3 linked regions of the Oryctolagus cuniculus genome follow. The protein of the gene in region 1 interacts with the protein of each later gene in a biochemical or structural test. Links are inferred from orthologs where the notes say so. Each region holds a gene or a part of one and is shown on either strand. Other genes may lie near its edges.

Evidence for each region.
Region 2: of the proteins of ATF2 (region 1) and MAPK11, one has a biochemical effect on the other in vitro, tested with the Homo sapiens proteins (4 studies listed by BioGRID and IntAct). The link is inferred for Oryctolagus cuniculus from reciprocal best matches to the Homo sapiens genes ATF2 and MAPK11.
Region 3: of the proteins of ATF2 (region 1) and MAPK13, one has a biochemical effect on the other in vitro, tested with the Homo sapiens proteins (2 studies listed by BioGRID and IntAct). The link is inferred for Oryctolagus cuniculus from reciprocal best matches to the Homo sapiens genes ATF2 and MAPK13.

What each region holds. Positions count from the first base shown.
Region 1 is NC_091434.1:66,025,488-66,031,515, reverse strand, and holds part of ATF2 (cyclic AMP-dependent transcription factor ATF-2), read right to left. Parts: intron 5,406-6,028; coding exon 5,309-5,405; intron 2,442-5,308; coding exon 2,323-2,441; intron 2,191-2,322; coding exon 2,062-2,190; intron 1-2,061. UniProt on the Homo sapiens protein: Transcriptional activator which regulates the transcription of various genes, including those involved in anti-apoptosis, cell growth, and DNA damage response.
Region 2 is NC_091442.1:123,216,210-123,222,898, reverse strand, and holds the start of MAPK11 (mitogen-activated protein kinase 11), read left to right. Parts: upstream 1-2,409; 5' UTR 2,410-2,476; coding exon 2,477-2,592; intron 2,593-4,131; coding exon 4,132-4,261; intron 4,262-4,539; coding exon 4,540-4,598; intron 4,599-4,682; coding exon 4,683-4,794; intron 4,795-5,320; coding exon 5,321-5,350; intron 5,351-5,432; coding exon 5,433-5,480; intron 5,481-5,555; coding exon 5,556-5,670; intron 5,671-6,018; coding exon 6,019-6,090; intron 6,091-6,298; coding exon 6,299-6,378; intron 6,379-6,689. UniProt on the Homo sapiens protein: Serine/threonine kinase which acts as an essential component of the MAP kinase signal transduction pathway.
Region 3 is NC_091436.1:133,373,595-133,380,111, reverse strand, and holds the start of MAPK13 (mitogen-activated protein kinase 13), read left to right. Parts: upstream 1-2,809; 5' UTR 2,810-2,908; coding exon 2,909-3,027; intron 3,028-3,601; coding exon 3,602-3,731; intron 3,732-4,586; coding exon 4,587-4,645; intron 4,646-6,517. UniProt on the Homo sapiens protein: Serine/threonine kinase which acts as an essential component of the MAP kinase signal transduction pathway.

The sequences.
Region 1 (6,028 bases):
ACTGTGCCTAAAGGGATAAGATGTGGAGGTGGAAGAGAGTGATATTAATGATTCTGATATAGTGGAGGCCTAGGCTAATGTATGTGTGTTCTAACAAAAAAGTTGAGCAAGTAAAGTAATCATGACAACAACAATAATAAAATAAAGCTTATAGAATAAGGATATAAAAATATTTAATTATATACTGTGTATTTCATGCTGTTATTAGAAAAGAGTAAAAAAGTTAAAAAAAATCAAGAAGTTCATAAAGTAGAAAACTACAGTAGGCCAAGGTTCATTTACTAAAGAAAAAAAAAATTTCATTTTATTTGAAAGGTAGAGTTACAGAGAAAGGAAAAGAGATGGGGAGAGATAGATCTTCCATCCCCAGGGTTCATGTACCAATTTGGCCACAATGGCCAGGGAGGGGCCAGACCAAAGCCAGGATACAGGAGCTGTATCTGGTCTCCCACGTGGGTGGCAGGGGCCCAAGTCTTAGGGTATGTTCTGTTGTTTTACCAGGTGCATTAGCAGGGAGCTGGATCAGAAGTGGAGCAGCCCTAGTGCTGCTCGAACTAGTGCCCATTTGTGATGCCAGCGTTGTAGGCAGCAGCTTTACCTGCTATGCCACAATGCTGGCCCCCAAAAATGATTTTAAACTGTAAGTTTAGTGTAGCATAAGTATACACAGTAGTGTACAGCAATGTCCTATGCTTTCACATTCACTCACCACTCACTGACTCACCAGGGCAACTTCCAGTCCCACAAACTCCACTCACAGTAAGTGTCCTAAACAGGTGTACCACTTCAAAAATCTTTTATATCATATTTTACTGTACCATTTCCATGTTTAGATACACAAAAACTTGCCATTGTGTTACAACCGCCTATACTATTAGTTATAATACATCTGGGTTTTATCCTAGAAGCAACAGGCTGTACTACATACCTTATATGTGTAGGCTAAACCACCACATAGCCTATACGTGTAGGCTTCTGCAGGTATACTCTGTGATATTCACACACTAACAAAGTTACCAACTGATGCATTTCTCAAAACATGTCCATTTTGTTCTCTGACATATGACTATATTTCCTAATTGGTAACTTCTGATATAGTAGGTAAGGTCCAATAAATTACAGTTTTCGAATAACATAATGTAAAAGAGAATATTGCCATTCTCTTTTTTATGTCACATCATCTCTTCCTCTGTGCACCACATGGTGCTCCCAAATAAGTAAGTGTTCATTCTATGTGCTTATGAACAAACAAGTAATCAAGTAGTAGCACAAGCATAGGCCAGGGGGGTCCAAGTTATTACCAGGGTATTCCAGATGCTATCATCATCATGGTTGCTGCTAACCAAGATCCACTGCTGAGAATAACTAGTTCTTTATCCTTTGAAAGCCTAAATAATCATTGCTCATACAAGTTACTAGTTGTACAGATTTCTTAATTAAGCTGCTGATCTGAAATTCTTGGGATACCATGGATACCAGAAAAAAATTCATGAAAATGTATGCTATGAAAAAACTATGCATGGATTTGAAAGTTCTTTTTCACCAAAATAAACTTTTTTCCATAAACTTACTGAAGTGCCCTCATCTAAAGGTAACTAACCAACAAAATACAGAAAAACCACATTAAATGGTAAATTTACATTTCCCTCTTAAAGTAAGTTTTATCTAAAATGACTCTTATTCTCCCCTATAATTTCTCTGTGTTTAAGTTGATTATGTATTAATGGGGTGGGAAACATACAGTCTGTGGGCCATACAAGACCTGTGAAATCATTTGGTCTGGCCCTGCCAAGGCAACCACAGGTGGTACTCAAAATTCAATAAATCTACAGCAGGCTGATTTTTAAGTTGATAATTTTATATGGCCCACAAATGATGTTATAATAGCCAAATGGACCTTGGCAGAAAAAAATGCTCCCCAGCCCTGAATAAAGAAGGAATCTTCTTTCCCTGAAATATTTGGCTAGTCAGAGGCTTTTACACATTAAAAATTAAACTTTACTTGGGGTACCAACTTTTTCCTCCTTAGCTTATATGCTATCACAAATATAACATTCTAACCTTTTCATCACTGGTAGTAGACTCTGGGTGAGGTAAAGGACTATCCTGGTGAGTTGTTTCTACAACAGAAGGCTCCTCAATTTTACTTCTTATGATGGGTGTTGCAAGAGGGGATAAATCTAGAGGCATCTAAAATGTAAACAATAAATAAAGAAAATGTCACAAGTTCAAATGTAGGCCATTAGAAAGTATGAAGTATAAGCTAGCAATATTTTTTCTATCAAAAGTACTCTTCTCTTAATTTTACGATTAACAACGTACTTTTTTAATGTCGTCTTCTGAAGCTTTCTTGAATTCATTCTCAAATGGACTTGCCAACTCATTAAACAAACCCACTTCTTCACAGTTTTTCAAGAATCTTGTTGGAGTTGGGGTCTGATCTGAAATAAAGTCAAGAAGTAATCACACAGACTTAAATATTGTATACCATATTAAGATTCTAAAATATAGCAATAAGTTAACAAATTAGAAGGACTGGTTCAGTCACAGTTGTTAATTCTCTCTTTGGAAAGACCTCTTCCTTTAAAGCAAACAAAATCTGGTTAAGTTTCTGTTGCACTTCCAGGTATTTCCTCCAACTTTGGGAACCATAAAGGATGAAAGAAGTCTTTTGCTCCTTTGTCCACCCCTTCACTCTCCCTTGAGTGGCATGAACATCTTCTACGCAAGAGATAAACTATTATCATTATCTAACACAGTGATAAGAACTTTTAAAAAAAACTTACATTACTAAAAATTATTATAATCTCAATACATGCATTTTGGGTAAAACTAGGATAAGAGCATGTATATTTATTTTAACTTGGCACTTCCACTAGCTGTTCATAATGTATTTTGAAAGCAAGCTTAAATTAAAACAGTATCTTTAGTAGGTAGATTAAAATACCACAAAGAAGAAAAAGAAAGTGAAAAGTCCTGAAAACAAAACAAACTCCTTATTACTATCTACTAAAGCTGATTGTTCAACTTTAGCATATTTTATAAGCTTGGTCTTAACGTTCTAGCTTAATTTCTAGGCAAATAAAATAACTACTTTTTTTACAACTTCAAATATTTTAGCTATACTTAAATTTGCAGCTTATGTTGTTTACATATATATATATATATATATCTACAGAACAAATGTCAGTTAAAGTCTAGGTTGAATGAAAGATAGTAAATTTTGCTCATTTAGTTGTATTGTCCCCAATGCTGTTTATTTATGTTGATTATAATTGGTAGCATATTCAAACTTTGTTAGTATTTTATCTACTTTAGGGCATGAATTTTATAAGTTATTTTAAGGATTTCACCTAAGCTAAATAAAAGTAATCTATTAAGAGCTCTTTTATGAAATTAAATTCAAATATTTATTAACTATTGTGTTTCACAATGGTAATTACTATTTTACCTTTCCCCCTAACATACACAAAGTGTATTAATATTTTTTCTACACATAAATATATTCAACATCAAAATAACCCATTTGTCATACACATTAGACATACTGCAGGCCTATCTTGGTCACTATTAATCATATCAAATTACTGCCTATCAGTATAATCTTTAACCTATACCCTACTCTTATCTCCAAAATCATGCTACATTGAAGGCTTCATGTACATGTATCAGCTTAAGTCCCTCATGACTGAATTAATAAGTCAAACATAAATTTAACTCTTCTCATACCCAAAAGGTTTGCCTATCTAAGCTCTTTAGAAAGCTCACAACTCAGGGAGAGAAAAGTCTTGAAATGCATAAGCATAGATCACTTTCATTAATGACTACTGGGACTGTTAGACTTAAGTAAAGCCAACATAGACACAACTGTGTAACATGCAGATTGCATATGGCTACTGATCATCAGATATATACCACACACATCATGTGTTACAAAGCAATATAAACTGTTCAACATGTCAGTAAAAAAATGGTCAAATGCTGTGTTTGAACGTGTTGTATTTTTCTATTCCATTAAATACAAACAGGAAAATAATTTCTAGAAACCAACTTCAAAACACTTTTTGAGTTAAAATATTAGAGAGATTGCTTTAAGACATTAAGTTTCACAGAAACAAAGATCTTCATGCCTAGGAAAGTGAACTTTTCAGCTTGTTTTTATTTTTTTTTTTTGTTGTTCTAGGTCTTATTATCTGATGCACAGAAGACTAAAGAAATGCATTATTCATTCTTCTACACTTCCTTTCATTTATGGAACTGAAGACCTACTGAAATTCCCTATATCTTTCCTACATAAATTATCTCTGATAGATTGACTACTTTTTGTTATTCCCCATTTCATTACAACCTTTTGATACTGAAAGTACAGGAAAATCAACCAATATTTGCTGTGTTACCTATGCAAAACATTGCATATGATAATTTGATGTATATACTAGTTGTTTAAAAGTACTAATATTACTAAGTTTTCGGACATAATTCCAGACTTACAAATAGTATAACCTAAGGTGTGCAAGAAAGAAGAATCTAGAGTTAATTTGAGTATCTGAAATGCAAATTTATGTGACTGTGATAGAAAAGTGTCTAAAATTTATATTAAATGTTTTATATCATAATCCTTATAAAATACATATAGTAAAATTATTCATATTTTGTATATACACAGATGTGTGTGTGTATATATACTGAAATAACTAGCTAATATAGCATGAAATGAATAAATCAATGCATGAATTGGGTTTCTCTTTTCACATAATATGAAAAATAATTGCTTACATAATACTGTATGTATGTAGGGTCAACACACACGAAAAAAAGCACCTAATGAATTCAGGACCCCTTACGAGTATTTTACTAAGACAAATGTTTTGTTTGGAAAAAAAAAAAATTCTAATCCGGAAATTTGCTAGGTCTTGCTCTCCAACAGGAGGAGCTTCATCCTTTTCTGTCTTCACACAGCCTTGTAAATCAGGTGCCAAGACAGCTAAAAGAAACGTTGACTAAATATATTAGTTCAATTGTAAGAAAAACGTAAATTTTGTAAATGGTATGAATGATGTTCCCAGAGTTCTAATTAACTTCCATGAAACTGACATTGAAATCTCTACTTGAAAATCACACAAAATGTGAAATGAATGGTCAGAAGGAAACATGGAAATGTAATGGGTAAAATACATGTTGCCAACATTTATTGTAAATGAAGTCATTGGAATATCACCAGATTATATTATTTACAGAGAATACACAAAAATTGTGCACATTCCAGGTGAAATATGTATATAAGCTATTAATAAAAGCATATACTAACCAGCCACAATGACACTGTCATTACGTGCTGGACCAAATTTCAGTGTCATCTCATGTTTATGTTTATGGACAGCCAAATGATCCTCGTTGGTAAAACGCTGTGGCAAAAATTTTAAGATACAGTTAAGATTTTCAATTTGATCAAATAATTAAAATGATAAGGAAATTCATTTCCACAACATGTAAAACCACCATTAACAGTGAAATAGCAGTTTTTAAACTATAAAAGAATTTATTATTGTTAGTATAAACATACCAGACTTCAAATAATCATAGAGAAACCCATTACCCAAGAATACACAATATGATTAGGTCACATAACTGATTTAAAAATAAAATCTTAGGCAAAGAAACTATGTAAATTTAATTTGGATACTAAAAACACACCACTAGCATTAAGCCCTTGATTGTAATGTAAATTAAATATACATTATCTCAAAAGTGAAGAGAAAAGGAGAGAAAGGGAAAAGGAGTGAGAGGAGGGAGAGAGAAAGAATATCATTATATTCTTAGAATTGTATTTCTGAATTATATTGAACCTGTTAAAAATGAAAAAAATTAAAATTAAAATTAAAAACAGACCACTATTAAGTTTTTGTCATATAATAGTAGAAATAGATACTCCATGGTACAATGATTTTAAGTACTCTATTTACCTAGACTTAAGCTTACTTACCATATTACTAAATGAAAAATTTCTTAAAATTTCTGTTATAATCCA
Region 2 (6,689 bases), on another chromosome or scaffold:
ATTGGCTGTGACTGAGTCCTCCTCTCCCCGCAGGGGGCGCCGCAGGCCCCGAGCAATATGGCACCGGAGCCTGTACTAGCCCCCGCCCACGGAGCCAGCCCGGGGTCTCTGTGTGAAGACTGAGTGTTTCGCAAACGTGCCTTACGCCGCGCCGGGCCCCTGGGGCAGTCGGGCCTCCGCCTCCCCTCGCACCAGCAGCCGCCTCAGATGCCCAGGGCCTGGCCTCTGGGTGGGATCCGAGTCCCTGCAGCCCCGGGGCGAGTGCCCAGACGTGTCTGCCCACTGTCCACGGACAGCAGGAGGAGACACGGAGGACAAGCGGTACGACGCCTTCCTGACCTCACCCTGCCTCCCCAGGGGGCACCCACGTTTGCCGGGCCCCACCTCAAAGGTCACGCTGGACGTCAGACGTCGGGGCCAGGCAGCCAGGAGGAGCCCAGCCGACCTGTCAGACAGGCTGCCCTGGAGGCCCCACCTGGGTCTGGGGGGCTGGGAGCAGCTCCACCAGGACCACCCATCCCTTTTTTGTAAATCTTGTTCATTGTAAATCAAATACAGCTGTCTTTTTCACTCTGCTGGCTGGTTGGGCTCCAGGGGCTGCTGGTCTGTCCCCACCCACCTGTTCCCCTTCCCTGGACACTGCTGGATCTGAGGTGGGCCCCTGTGTGGGCCAGGTGGGACCAGGCCAGCCTGGCTGGGTGCTGGAAAGAGACTGGCTCTAGCGCCCCCATCTGGCGCCCTCAGCGTCCCCCTCCCTTCCCCGGGCAGGCATGAGGCAGCAGCGAGCGAGAGAGATGCCTGGTAAGCCTCGCGCTGTGTGCCGGCCCCACTGGACAGAGGGCCAGAGTCTCAAGGCCTTGGGGCTGTGAGGTCAGCTTTGTCCCACGAGCTACCCAGGATGACTCGCCCAGGACCACCCTTTGCACCTCTGAGGGCGACGGACTCCTCTGCTCCTGCCTGGTGGGGGTCTGGGTGGGGGTAGGTAACCCCGAGGACCTGGGGCGGGGCCACAAGATGAAGACGTAGTTTGGGCCTGCAGCCAATGGGACGGAGGGGCCCTGCCCCCACGGAGCTTCCTGTGAACCCCAAGCAGGCTGAGCCCAGGAAGAAGCAGAGCGGCCTGGACACTCGCTGTCCCTGTGTGCGTTGTCTGAATGGTCTCCGGCCTGGTCTCGCCGCTGGGGCCTCCCCTTACGGCTGGGGAGCCCAGGAGCCGGGGTCAGGGGACTGTGAACCCCTCCTGGAAGGGGGTGACTCGGGCCCCTCCCCAACACTGGCTGTAGGGAAACAGGAACCTGGAGGCCTGGCTTCCAGGGGTCTGCTGCTGCTGTCCCCCGGGGCAGTCAGGAAAGAAGGGGCTCATCTGTGAGGACACCCCTACACACGCAAGGGACACTCAGGGGGAGGGGAAGGCTGTAGGTCCTGCCATCCACGCCCAGGTGGTCTCCACCCTCACCCCTCCCCTTAGGGATGGGAGTGACAGGACCCAGGAGCCTGGCTGGTGCCAGCGAGGGGTGAATGTTGGCTTGTCCAGGTGGCCAGAATGCCCTTCAGCCCCAGCGGTGACCAGCCCTTCCGGTCACTGTCCAATTTCCAGTGAGCAGGGGGAGGGAGAGGTGAGGATGGGAAGGAGCCACGAGCAATGCTGCTGACCTGTCCATGTCCAGAGAATGGAGCCAAGACTGCATCCTGCTTGTTCCAGACCCTCACCAGCGATTCGTGTGGCGGTGGGGAAGCATCCACTGAGTCCCCCTCCCCGCCCGGGTCTCCGAACCCCTTAGGGGCCCCAGCAGGACAGGCCCTGGACCCCGGCCAGGGTCCCAAGACCCATGAAGTCTGCATGAAGCTGCGGGTCCAGGGAGCTCGCTCCGCGTTTCACGCTGGTCCCAAGCACCCCAGCTTCACCGGCGCGCGCCGCTGGGTTCGTCTTGAAAAAGAGGGGGCGACTGGAGCCCAAGTTCCTCCCATCCCGGGAGGGGGCGTCCCGCCCAAAGCCCCCGACCCAGCGTCTGTCCGTGCCTGCGGCGACTGCCCGCGAGGCCGGGGCTTAACGGGAGGACGCCGGCCACGGGACCGCCGCGCAGGGCGGTAGGGGCGGCTCCCAGGGTCTGGGGAAGTTCGGGTGGGCTTCCCGAAGAGGCAAAAAGTACGAGGGACCCGAGGGGACTCATCTGGGGCCGCTTCTTCCCGAGCCCTGGCCCCAGAGGCCCCCCGGGTCGCCGCTGTCCCTGGTGCTGACCGGCCGCGCCCGCGGGAGACCCCAGCAGGTGGTCCGGCGCCACAAAGGCCCGGCCCTCAACCCCCTTCCGTCCCGAGAGGAAGCGCTTCCCGAGCTCCGGGCCCGGATCCCGCCGCCGCCCCGGTTTCCGCTCGGCTCCGGGCGCCCCCGCCCCAGCCAGGAGCCCCGCGCGCGCCCCGCCCAGCGCCCCGCCCCGCGCCCCGCCGCCCTCAGCTGCGCGCGGCTCCGGCTCCGGACATGTCGGGGCCCCGCGCCGGCTTCTACCGGCAGGAGCTGAACAAGACGGTGTGGGAGGTGCCGCAGAGGCTGCAGGGGCTGCGCCCGGTGGGCTCCGGCGCCTACGGCTCGGTCTGGTAGGGGCGGGGCGCGGGGCGCGCTCGGGGCTGCGGGCGTGGGGAGGGGCCTCGGCCTGCCCCCGCCCCCGGGCCCTGCGCGGGCCGCGGCGATGCGTCGGGGTGAGGGCGTGCGAGAAGCGTGCCCGCCGCACGCCGCCCCCAGCGGGGCGGGGGTCGTCTTCCTGCCGCGCCCAGTCCCGGGATGGCGCGGCCGGCGGAGGCCGGGCGCCCCGGGGCCCTCGGCGTCTGCGCTCCCCTCGCAGTTCCTGGGTTAGGGGTCGCGCGGCTCAGGGTCCGGCGGATACCCCGCCCCCGCCCCGCGCCATTGTTTGAAAACGGAGGCTCGCAGCGTGGCCTCGGAGCCCCTTGCGGGTCCTGCCCACTCCTCGTTTTCCCAGGAGTCTCGGACTCCATCCTGAGCGGGGGACCTGACGCCCGATCCCCAGAGCGCAGGTTCCAGAGCCTGAACCCAAACAGACCACGGCGGCTTGTGGGGGGCGGGGGTGCCGATTGGGCCGCGGCCTTCGCTCCAGGACAGGAAAGCCGGACAGGGCGGTGACAGACCAGCGTTGTGTAGACAGGCTGCTCACAGGTGTGGACGCTGCCAGGTGCCCCCATGGCACCCGACGAGGTCGTCACTGGCCGCTGCTGGGTCCCAGTGGGGCCGGAGAGGCTGGGGACTGGTGGGCGGGCGTGGCTGCCCGCACCTGGGCGGATCTTTGCCTGTCCCCGCAGCCTGAGGCGGTCACCTCGGCCACTCCAGCACCGGGGCACCGTCTTCCGGCGTGTGTGAGTGACCAGAGGATATTGTGGCAGGAACCCAGGTGGACTCATGGCTGGGTCTGCACATCTGGGAGTTCCGGGGGTGTCAAGTCCCCACAGGGGGACCTGGGCTTTTCTGGGCTGCACCCCAACCCTCCATGTTTGCTGAGTTCCACTGCCAAGGAGGTGACTGCGCGGGTGCCCATTCCCTGTTGCTCAGCTAACCACACAGATGCAGTTGGGCCAAAGGATCTGCCACCTCCTCTCCAGCAGTGACTTGGATTTGCCCCTGTGGGTCACAACCTGGTGATGGGGGCACTGGGGGCCTGGTGAATTTTTCTCTGCCACTGGCACCCATGAGCGTCCCACACCGGGGGCAGTCAAGTCTGGGCTCACTGCGGGGCGGGTTCTGAGGGGAAGGGAAGGGGTGCGTGGGCGGGCGCATTGGCCAGAGAGCCGGCTGTGCAAAGGGCTCCAGACCTGCTCCCAGCTGAGCCCTGATCGTGACCGAGACTGCTGCACCTGCCGCCAGGCGAGGGGCTGCTGCCGAGGGGAGGGGCGTGGGGCTGGGCAAGGCCGGCCTCGCTGGGCATTCCCAGTGTCCACTTCCGGTTGCCAGTGATGCAGCACACACTTCTGGACCTGCCCAGTCCCGGGGTAGGGGGCACCCTCTGCCCTGGGAGTACCCAGGCCTCTCCCCGAGCCGGGGCCCAGCCTCAGGGGCTCCTCTGGATCTCGGGCGAGGAGGGGTTGGGCGCGGAGCTGGGGAGGCTGCCTCACTCGCCCGCCTTCCAGCTCAGCCTACGACGCCCGGCTGCGGCAGAAGGTGGCGGTGAAGAAGCTCTCGCGGCCCTTCCAGTCGCTGATCCACGCCCGCAGGACGTACCGGGAGCTGCGGCTGCTCAAGCACCTCAAGCATGAGAACGTGAGCGGGTGCTGGCCGGCGGGAGGGAGGGCCGGCGGGAGGGAGGGTGGGGGGAAGGACCGGTGGGAGGGAGGGTGGGGGGGAGGGCGGGGGGGGTGGGGAGGGCCGGCGGGGGGGGGAGGGCGGGGGGGGTGGGGAAGCCCGGTGGGGGGGAGGGCCGGCGGGAGGAGGGCCCCGGGCCCTGGGCCAATGGGAGGGAGGGCTGGCAGGAGGAGGGCTCTGGCCTGGGGCCGAGCCCTGCCCACCGCATGCTGCCCAGCTGCTTTCCTGCCTCCCAGGTCATCGGGCTTCTGGACGTCTTCACGCCAGCCACGTCCATCGAGGACTTCAGTGAAGTGTGAGTGCCTGGCGGCTAGAGGAGCACCTTCGGCCCACGGCAGTGGGGCTCCGGCCTGACCCCTGACCCCCTACCTTGCCCCAGGTACTTGGTGACCACCCTGATGGGCGCAGACCTGAACAACATCGTCAAGTGCCAGGCGCTGAGTGACGAACACGTCCAGTTCCTGGTATACCAGCTGCTGCGTGGGCTGAAGGTGGGGGTCTCTGGGCGTGGGCTAGAGGTGGGGTCTTAGGGCCTGGGCTGGAGGTGGGGTCTTAGGGCCTGGGCTGGAGGTGGTGGTCTTAGGGCCTGGGCTGCAGGCGGGGTCTTAGGGCCTGGGCTGGAGGTGGGGTCTTAGGGCCTGGACTGGAGGTGGGGGTCTTAGGGCCTGGGCTGGAGGTGGTGGTCTTAGGGCCTGGGCTGCAGGCGGGGTCTTAGGGCCTGGGCTGGAGGTGGGGTCTTAGGGCCTGGACTGGAGGTGGGGGTCTTAGGGCCTGGGCTGCAGGCGGGGTCTTAGGGCCTGGGCTGGAGGTGGGGGTCTTAGGGCCTGGGCTGCAGGCAGGGTCTTAGGGCCTGGACTGGAGGTGGGGGTCTTAGGGCCTGGGCTGTAGGCGGGGTCTTAGGGCCTGGACTGGAGGTGGGGGTCTTAGGGCCTGGGCTGCAGGCGGGGTCTTAGGGCCTGGGCTGGAGGTGGGGGTCCCTGGGCACATGGCCAATGCTCACCACCTCCCTCCCCGCAGTACATCCACTCTGCAGGGATCATCCACCGGGTAGGTGCAGCGTGGGCGACGGGCGGCGGGTGGGCTCAGGCGGGCGCTATCCCTGCGCTCAGGCCTCTGCCCGCCCACGCAGGACCTGAAACCCAGCAACGTGGCGGTGAATGAAGACTGCGAGCTCAGGGTGAGCGACTGGCGGGACTGGGCCGGGTGGGCTGTGGGGCGAGGAGGGGCCCTGAGCACCTCTCGGTCCCCCCAGATCCTAGACTTCGGACTGGCCCGCCAGGCTGACGAGGAGATGACCGGCTACGTGGCCACACGCTGGTACCGAGCCCCAGAGATCATGCTGAACTGGATGCACTACAACCAGACAGGTGCCGTCAGCCCTCACGCGGCCAGGCCGGCTGACCGGGCTCGCACCGGGGCCCCACCCGGGGCACGGGGATGGGAGTCGGCCCATGGCTGAGGGGCCTTGGGGGAGCCTTGCCCAGTCTTGGGGGACAGGCAGGGTCTGGGACCAGCATTCAAAAACAGACTTTCCAAGGGTCCCCGGGGCAGGTGTGTGCTGGGGTCTGAGCCACTTGCTCTCCCCACCCAACGTGGGTGTACAGAAGGAAGGGTTCGGCCTGGGTGTGACTGAGGGTCCGCTGGGCCGGCTCCTCCCCAGCCTCCAGAGGAGGGGCTGGGGTGGGCAGGCTGATAGCCTGCCCCTCCCCCAACAGTGGATATCTGGTCCGTGGGCTGTATCATGGCCGAGCTGCTGCAGGGGAAGGCTCTCTTCCCGGGAAGTGACTGTATCCTTGCCCGTGCGGCCTGCAGCGTCACGCTGCGGGGACCCCTCCTCCAGGGTGGGGGTGGGCTCTGGCTCTCCTCTGCCCTGGGCCGGGCCACCTCAGGCTTGGATCCTCAGCTGTCAGACAGAGGCTCTGGGTGGGGCCCCAAGATGGGGCTCTTGGGCCTGGGGGCGGTGGATGGCCAGTGGGTATTTCCTGAACAAGGCAGACATCGACCAGCTGAAGCGGATCATGGAGGTGGTGGGTACGCCCAGCCCTGAGGTTCTGGCCAAGATTTCCTCGGAGCACGTAAGTCCTGCCCAGCCTGCCCTCAGCCGCCCGCCGGGGAGCCCGGGGGACGGCGATGGCAGGGGTGAAAGTCACAGCCGCCCGCCGGGGAGCCCGGGGGACAGCGATGGCAGGGGTGAAAGTCACAGCCGCCCCGCCGGGGAGCCCGGGGGACGGCGATGGCAGGGGTGAAAGTCACAGCCGCCCCGCCGGGGAGCCCGGGGGACGGCGATGGCAGGGGTGAAAGTCACAGCCGCCCGCCGGGGAGCCCGGGGGACGGCGATGGCAGGGGTGAAAGTCACAGCCGCCCCGCCGGGGAGCCCGGGGGACGG
Region 3 (6,517 bases), on another chromosome or scaffold:
AATTGGAGAGTGAACCAGCAGATGGAAGACCTCTCTCTCTCTCTCTCTGCCTCTCCTTCTCTGTGTGTAACTCTGACTTTCAAATAAATAAATAAATCTTTTTAAAAAATGAATACAAAATACCCCTTACTTACAAGGGTTTGAATTAGAATTGTTCAACCTTGCCATAGTGCAAAAGTGAGCCACACTCGAGAAACAACACACTTCAGGTTTGGAATTTGGATCTTTCCCTGGGTTATCCATCCTAGGCACTCCTAGGAGCACATCCTAGTGAGACGCACTCCAGCCACAGCGCTGTCAGCCCCAGCAGACGAGAGGAAAGATGCCGGTTCCACAGTGCTCCGTGTAGCTAAGCTGTGATGTGGGGAGCCTGGGGTGGATTAAAGGCTTTTTCAACTTGTGGTGTTTCCAACTCACGATGGGTTTATTGGGACAGGACCTCCTTGTAGGGTGAACAAGATCTGTACTTGTCTTAGTTTAACATCATCTTCATTTTCCAAGGAGGGGAAGGAACTTTGCCCAAGGTCACACAGCCAGCATTGTGACACAGCTGGGAAAGAAACTCAGGTCTCCTCCCCAGACTGATTTCCTAAAACCTCGCCTCTGTGTTAATCGGGCAGAAACCAAGCAGCCAGCATTGAGTCTGTGTCCAGGCTGGAGACAAGCAAAGGGGTCCTGGACCATAAAGAGAAGAGAGCCCTGGGTGCTGGGGGTTCCGGGAGTGCTGGGCCCCCGGGGGTGTCTTCAGTGACTCCCTCCTCCTCCCGCATCCTTGCCCCCACCCCCACCCCATATCCAACAAGCCCTCCCCTCCAGAGCTGCCTGGCTGGGCCCCAGCGGGGCTCGGTGTCAGCAGAGTCTGAGGCCTGAGTCACTTCCTGGCCCTTGCTCAAGAGGTGTCGGGGCCACTGCTGCAGCGGCTGGCCCATGGCCTGGTAGGATTGCACCTACTTAAGCAATGAGCAGCCTCCCTGGCGCTCCTCACCTGCCGGGGCGCCCCTCTGCTTCCTTAGGTGTCAGAGATACCAGCAGGTGTCCAGCCCCCTTCCTTGCTGAATCCTCAACCCAGAAGGGAACCCACAAAGAGTCTTATCAGTGCCCACCCCTTACACCTGCCTTGTGGGACCCCACCCCAGCTTCAGAATCAGTGTGCCTTCCACCCGTGTCACCAAGCCCAAAGGTCCCAAACACCCCTGGCTCCTTCCCAGGCATGCCAGCTTTTCCCTTCTCACGGGGTCTCAGGCTGGATATGTCAAATTCCTCAGGGCAGGCTGAGCCAAGGGAGAACTAGTTCCATCCACAGACACAAGAGGGGATTTGCAACATAGGCCACTGTTTTCAAGGAGCCGCGTGCCTCTCACTGTGGAGACACAAAATAGCACCAGGCTGCACCGGTGTCTCCGCCCAGCTCTGCTCCTTAGCAGCTGAGTGCCCGTGGGCTGCTCCATTAACCTGGCGGTAGGACTGGCTCCTCCTGGCTAAGATGAAGATAATCTTGGCACTGGCTCACAGGCCTCTTGCGGTGATTAAGTGAGTTGTGTATGTGAAACACTTAGTGTGATGACTGGCACATGGCAAACACAAATGTTTATTAAAGAAATATGTTGTTGCTTCCAATGGGCTGACTCTTCTGTTTATTCTCTATACACTTAGGATGTCCTACTATGTGTCAGACACAAATAAGACAGATTCCCTGCCCACAACACCAGCTGGGCACGTCAGTGGGACCCTGGCACTCCCCCTGCCTGGAAAGGGTGCTTCAGGTTGAGGCTGATGCTGCAGGACTAGGCAGGGCTGTGACAAGGGTCTGGGGTCTGCAGGCTCCCTTGTGCGGACCCCCTGTTTGCTGAAGGCCAGCAACCGGTTCCTTTCCTCCTTGAAGACAGCTCCTCTCCCTTGACAGATGCAGCAATGGTCCCCTGCCACAGCCCCATGCCTCGCCAGACCGGGACCGGACACATGTGCTGGGCACACAGAGGGCTCCTGCCCATTTCCCAGCCACCCCCCCCCCCCCGCCCCGGGGCCTCCTAGGCCTCCTCAGGCCGCAGCAGCCACCAAAGACAGGAGGCAGATGGTCCCTGTTTGTCATTGTCCTCGAAGGGCACAAACTGGACGTTTTAGTTCAAGAGTGGGCGTTTGAACATGCGTGGCTATTTGGGCATTATAGAATTAGTGTGATTAATTCTTAAGTGTAAAAATGGTGCTATGCTTATTTTTTTTTAAAAAACAATCTGTATCTCTAAAGCGTAACAATATTTGTGGATGAAATATGATGCCCAGGCGTTGCATCAAAATAATGGCGAAACACAAATGCAGGGGCCTAAAGTTGACCATCCGTTGCTACAACGGACATCCCCAGAGGTGACTCGGACCTCACAGCTGGACAGACACGCAGCCCTGGCTCTGACCCAGATCTACTGAATCGGAACCGGTTTCAATAAAGTAAAATCCCAGGGGACGGGATTCGTGTGCACGTCCACGTGTGAGGCGCACGGGGCTACGCCGGCTACTTCCGTATGGGAAAACTTCGGAGACAAAAAGATTGCGGAGTTTTCTTTTCCGGAATGGGTTTCAAAACGCCGGGGGGCTCTTCCGGAGCCGGGAGTCCTGCCTTCCCCGTACCCCGGCACTCGGCTGGGAGCCGCCCACTCCCGCCCCGCAGCCCGGACGGCGTCCCGGGACCCGCACCTGCCGCGGGTGGCTCGGGGCGGCCTCTCCGGGGCCGGCCGGCAAATGGGGGTGCGGCGCTGTCGGGCAGGCCCGGGCGTGGCGGCGCCCAGCGCACCTGAGCCAGCAGGTGGGACGCGTCGCTGCCGAACGCCCGCCCTCGTGCGGGGGAGGGCGGGCGCAGTCCGGACCGCGGGCGCAGCCGCCGTGCCGGGGCCGCAGCCGCGACTGGGTGCCCGGGATGAGCCTCACCCGGAGAAGGGGCTTCTACAAGCAGGACGTCAACAAGACCGCCTGGGAGCTGCCCAAGACCTACGTGTCCCCGACGCACGTCGGCAGCGGGGCCTACGGCGCCGTGTGGTGAGACCCCTGGGCCGCGCGGCCACTGGGGGGCGCGGGGACGCCAGGCGTCGGGGCGCCGCCTCGGCCGAGCTGGCGGCGCGGGGAGCCGGTGGAGCAGGGCGCCGAGGGAGGGCGCGAGAGCAGCCCCGGGTGGCGGCGCTGGCTCGGAGCCACGGACCGCCTTTCTCTGCCGGGAGGGCCGTGTGGGGGTCTCAGCGGGGCGAATCAGGACTGAGTGGGCTCCCCAGAGCTCCTGGGCAGGTCCCCTTTGCCACGGATGAGTGCGCGGAGGCCCAGGAAGGGGAAGGGATTTTCCGGGTTGCAGTGGGAGGCTCCGCGTCCCGTCGGCGGCGAAAGGAGCCAGCCCTCGGAGCCGTGGCCCCCGCTCGGCTCCAGCCTCCTCCCCGCACTCCTGGCCCTCCGCCCTTCCACGTCGCAGGCAGTGGGCAGCGTCCCTCCCAGCCTGGCCTCCAAGGAGCCGAGTAGGGTTGGGGGTGCAGGTGGCCCAGGAGCGCGCGCGTGCGGGGACCAGGGGTGGGCGCCGTCCAGGCAGGAAGGCTGCCGCCCGCTGACCTGCCTTGTGCCCCCGCAGCTCCGCCATCGACAAGCGGTCTGGGGAGAAGGTGGCCATCAAGAAGCTTAGCCGGCCCTTCCAGTCGGAGATCTTCGCCAGGCGGGCCTACCGCGAGCTGCTGCTGCTCAAACACATGCAGCATGAGAACGTAGGGCGCGCGGGGGGGCGCAGCCGAAGACCCCTCCCTGCCCCACCGGGCCCGCTTCCCGCCCCGCTATTAAGGTTCCCCGATACCACGTCGTGCCCTGCGCACTGACCAGGAAGGGCCACAGGGTCTTTCTGGAGATAAGTACTGTTGCCACCTTGTCGCAGAGGGGGAAACTGAGTCACAGAGGTTTCCCGGGTTAATTGGTCAGTCAGTGGCAGAGCTGGGGTTTCAGCGGAGCTGCCCAGCCCTGCTTGGCAGAAACGGCAAGGCAAAGCCCAGGACCCAGCTCTGGGCCCAGCATCCACAGCCCCAGGGTGTCTAGATTAGAGGAGAACTATTTCAAATAATGATTTCAAACCGTTGTCACCACCAAAGTTCCCCCCTGCCTCCTTGTGCAGCAGACCCTTCCCCTGTGACCTCAGGCAGGGGGTGATCTTGTCACTGGCTCTGAATGAGCCTGTGGCAGGCCTGGGCAAATGTGGCTGGGGAACCCAAGGCCAAGGGCAGGGAGCCTGCAGGCTGGAGGCCCCTCCCCTCCGGCTAGAGCAGAGAGCGGGCTTGTGCTGCTCTCCCTGAACGCAGACTTGGGAGCGATGCACTGAGCAGGCCTCACTGCTCTGCCCACCTCCCTCCCTGCGCAGGGTACAAGCTCCCTCCCAAATGGGGTAGGGGGCCCACTCCTCTTTGACCTCCATCCCCTTACTGCTTCCAGCGAGGCTGGGGGGCCTGGCTCCTGCTGGGAGTGATATGTTAGGAAGGGCGGGTGGGGGGGCAGTCCTGTGTGTGGCCGGGACCCTTGGGCACTGGAGGACATGGCGGCGCCTGCCCAGGCCTCACTGATGGCTTCTTCCCCAGGTCATTGGGCTCCTGGATGTCTTTACCCCAGCCTCCTCCCTGCGCAGCTTCCATGACTTGTGAGTCCGCCGCACTGGCGTATGGGGCTGGTGTGGGGCCCCGGGCCCCTCGGGTGCAAGTTGAGGGAGGGTCCAGAGTCTGTCTTCTGGGTTGGGGACCTCCTGTCCTGCCAGTCCCTGTGTCCTTGGGCTTGCAGAGGTGGGCTTCTCTCTGGAGAGAGGCTTTCTACCAGGGATAGAGGCGGGGCGGGCAGCGAGAGCTGAGCCTGCTGGGATGGCGGTGGTGGCGGGAGCGGGGGCCTGTGTGCACAGCTGCTTCCTTTATTCCCCAGCTTTAACCTGAGGGAGGTAGCCTGCCAGTCCCTACAGGGTCACCTCGAGTCCGTTCCCCACTCCATGGGGACCCACGTGTGGGTCTGGACCTCAGGCCTCTTTCTAGCATGAAGCAAGGCTCAGGAGACCTTGGCTGCCTCTGGCTGCTGGGGTAATTGACAGCCACACAGACCCAGAACATTCGGTTCCCACGTGGTTGGCTCTGGGGTTGCAGTGCCTGAGTGCGTCCAAGCTGTTGGGACGGCGCTGAGAAGCGCAGCGTGGTGAGTGTAGGCCCTGTGGGTCACCAGACCCCACGGGCAGCCTCAAGTCCAGAGAGGTGCTGTGGTCAGGTCGGATTTGGGGGCTGCACTGTTGCAGCCGTGAGTAAGGAGTAGGGTGCAGTGCGGGGGAGGGGCCGAGTCTGGGGGACGGTGTCTGTGACCGAGACCCTTGTTTAAGCAGAAGGAATGGGGCTAACACTGATGCTCCCCTTCTGATCCAGCTCCCCGCTTCCGCGCCTGGGAAAGCAGCAGAAGGCGGCCAAAGCGCTTGGGTCCCTGCACCCATGTGGGAGACCCAGATGGAGTTCCTGGCTCCTGGCTTCAGCCTGGCTCAGCCCTGGCTGTTAGAACCCTTTGGGGAGTGAACCAGCAGATGGAAGATCTCTGTCTCTACCCGTGTCTCTCTGTAACTCCGCCTTCCAAATACATAAATAAACCTTAAAAAATAAGCCGAGGAGCTGGGGTGGTGGGGGCGGGCCTGGTAGAATGTTGTATCTGGTAGGACATGGGCTTGAGGGATGCACAGGTTCCAGCTTGGAATACAAAGTGGCAGAAGAACAGATCTGGGAAAGATGACGAATTCTCCTTTGGAATTTCACCTTTTTAAAAATGGTAAGATTTGTTTATTTATTTGAAAGGCAGAGTGACAGGCAGAGGCAGAGAGAGAGAGAGAGAGAGAGGTCTTCCATCTGCTGGTTCACTCCCCAAATGTTTGCAACAACTGGAGCTGGGCCAGGCCAAAGCCAGGACCTTGGAACTCCATCCTGGCCTCCACATGGTGGCAGGGACCCGAGTACCCGGGCCATCACCTGCTGCCTCTCGGGCACATTATTACGAAACTGGATCGGAAGTGGAGCAGTCAGGACCTGAACTGATGCTCTGATGTAGGATGTGATGTCCCAAGTGGCAGTTTAACCTGCTGTGCCACAATGCCTTCCCCGGATTTCTTTTCTTTTCTTTTCTTTTCTTTTCTTTTTTTTTAAGTTTATTTATTTATTTGAAAGAGTTACAGAGGCAGGGAGAGAGAGAGAGGTCTTCATCCACTGGTTCACTCCCCAAATGGCCACAACAGCTGGAGCTGGGCTGATCCAAAGCCAGGAGCCAGGAGCTTCTTCTAGGTCTCCCACATGGGTGCAGGGGCCCGAGGACTTGGGCCATCTTCTACTGCTTTCCCAGGCCATAGCAGAGAGCTGGATGGGAAGTGGAGCAGCGAGGACTTGAACCAGCGCCCATACAGAATGCCGGCCCTGCAGGTGGCGGCTTTACCTGCTATGCCACAGCTCCAGCACCCCAGATTTTACTTTTTTTTTTTTAAATATTATATTTGAAAGAGACA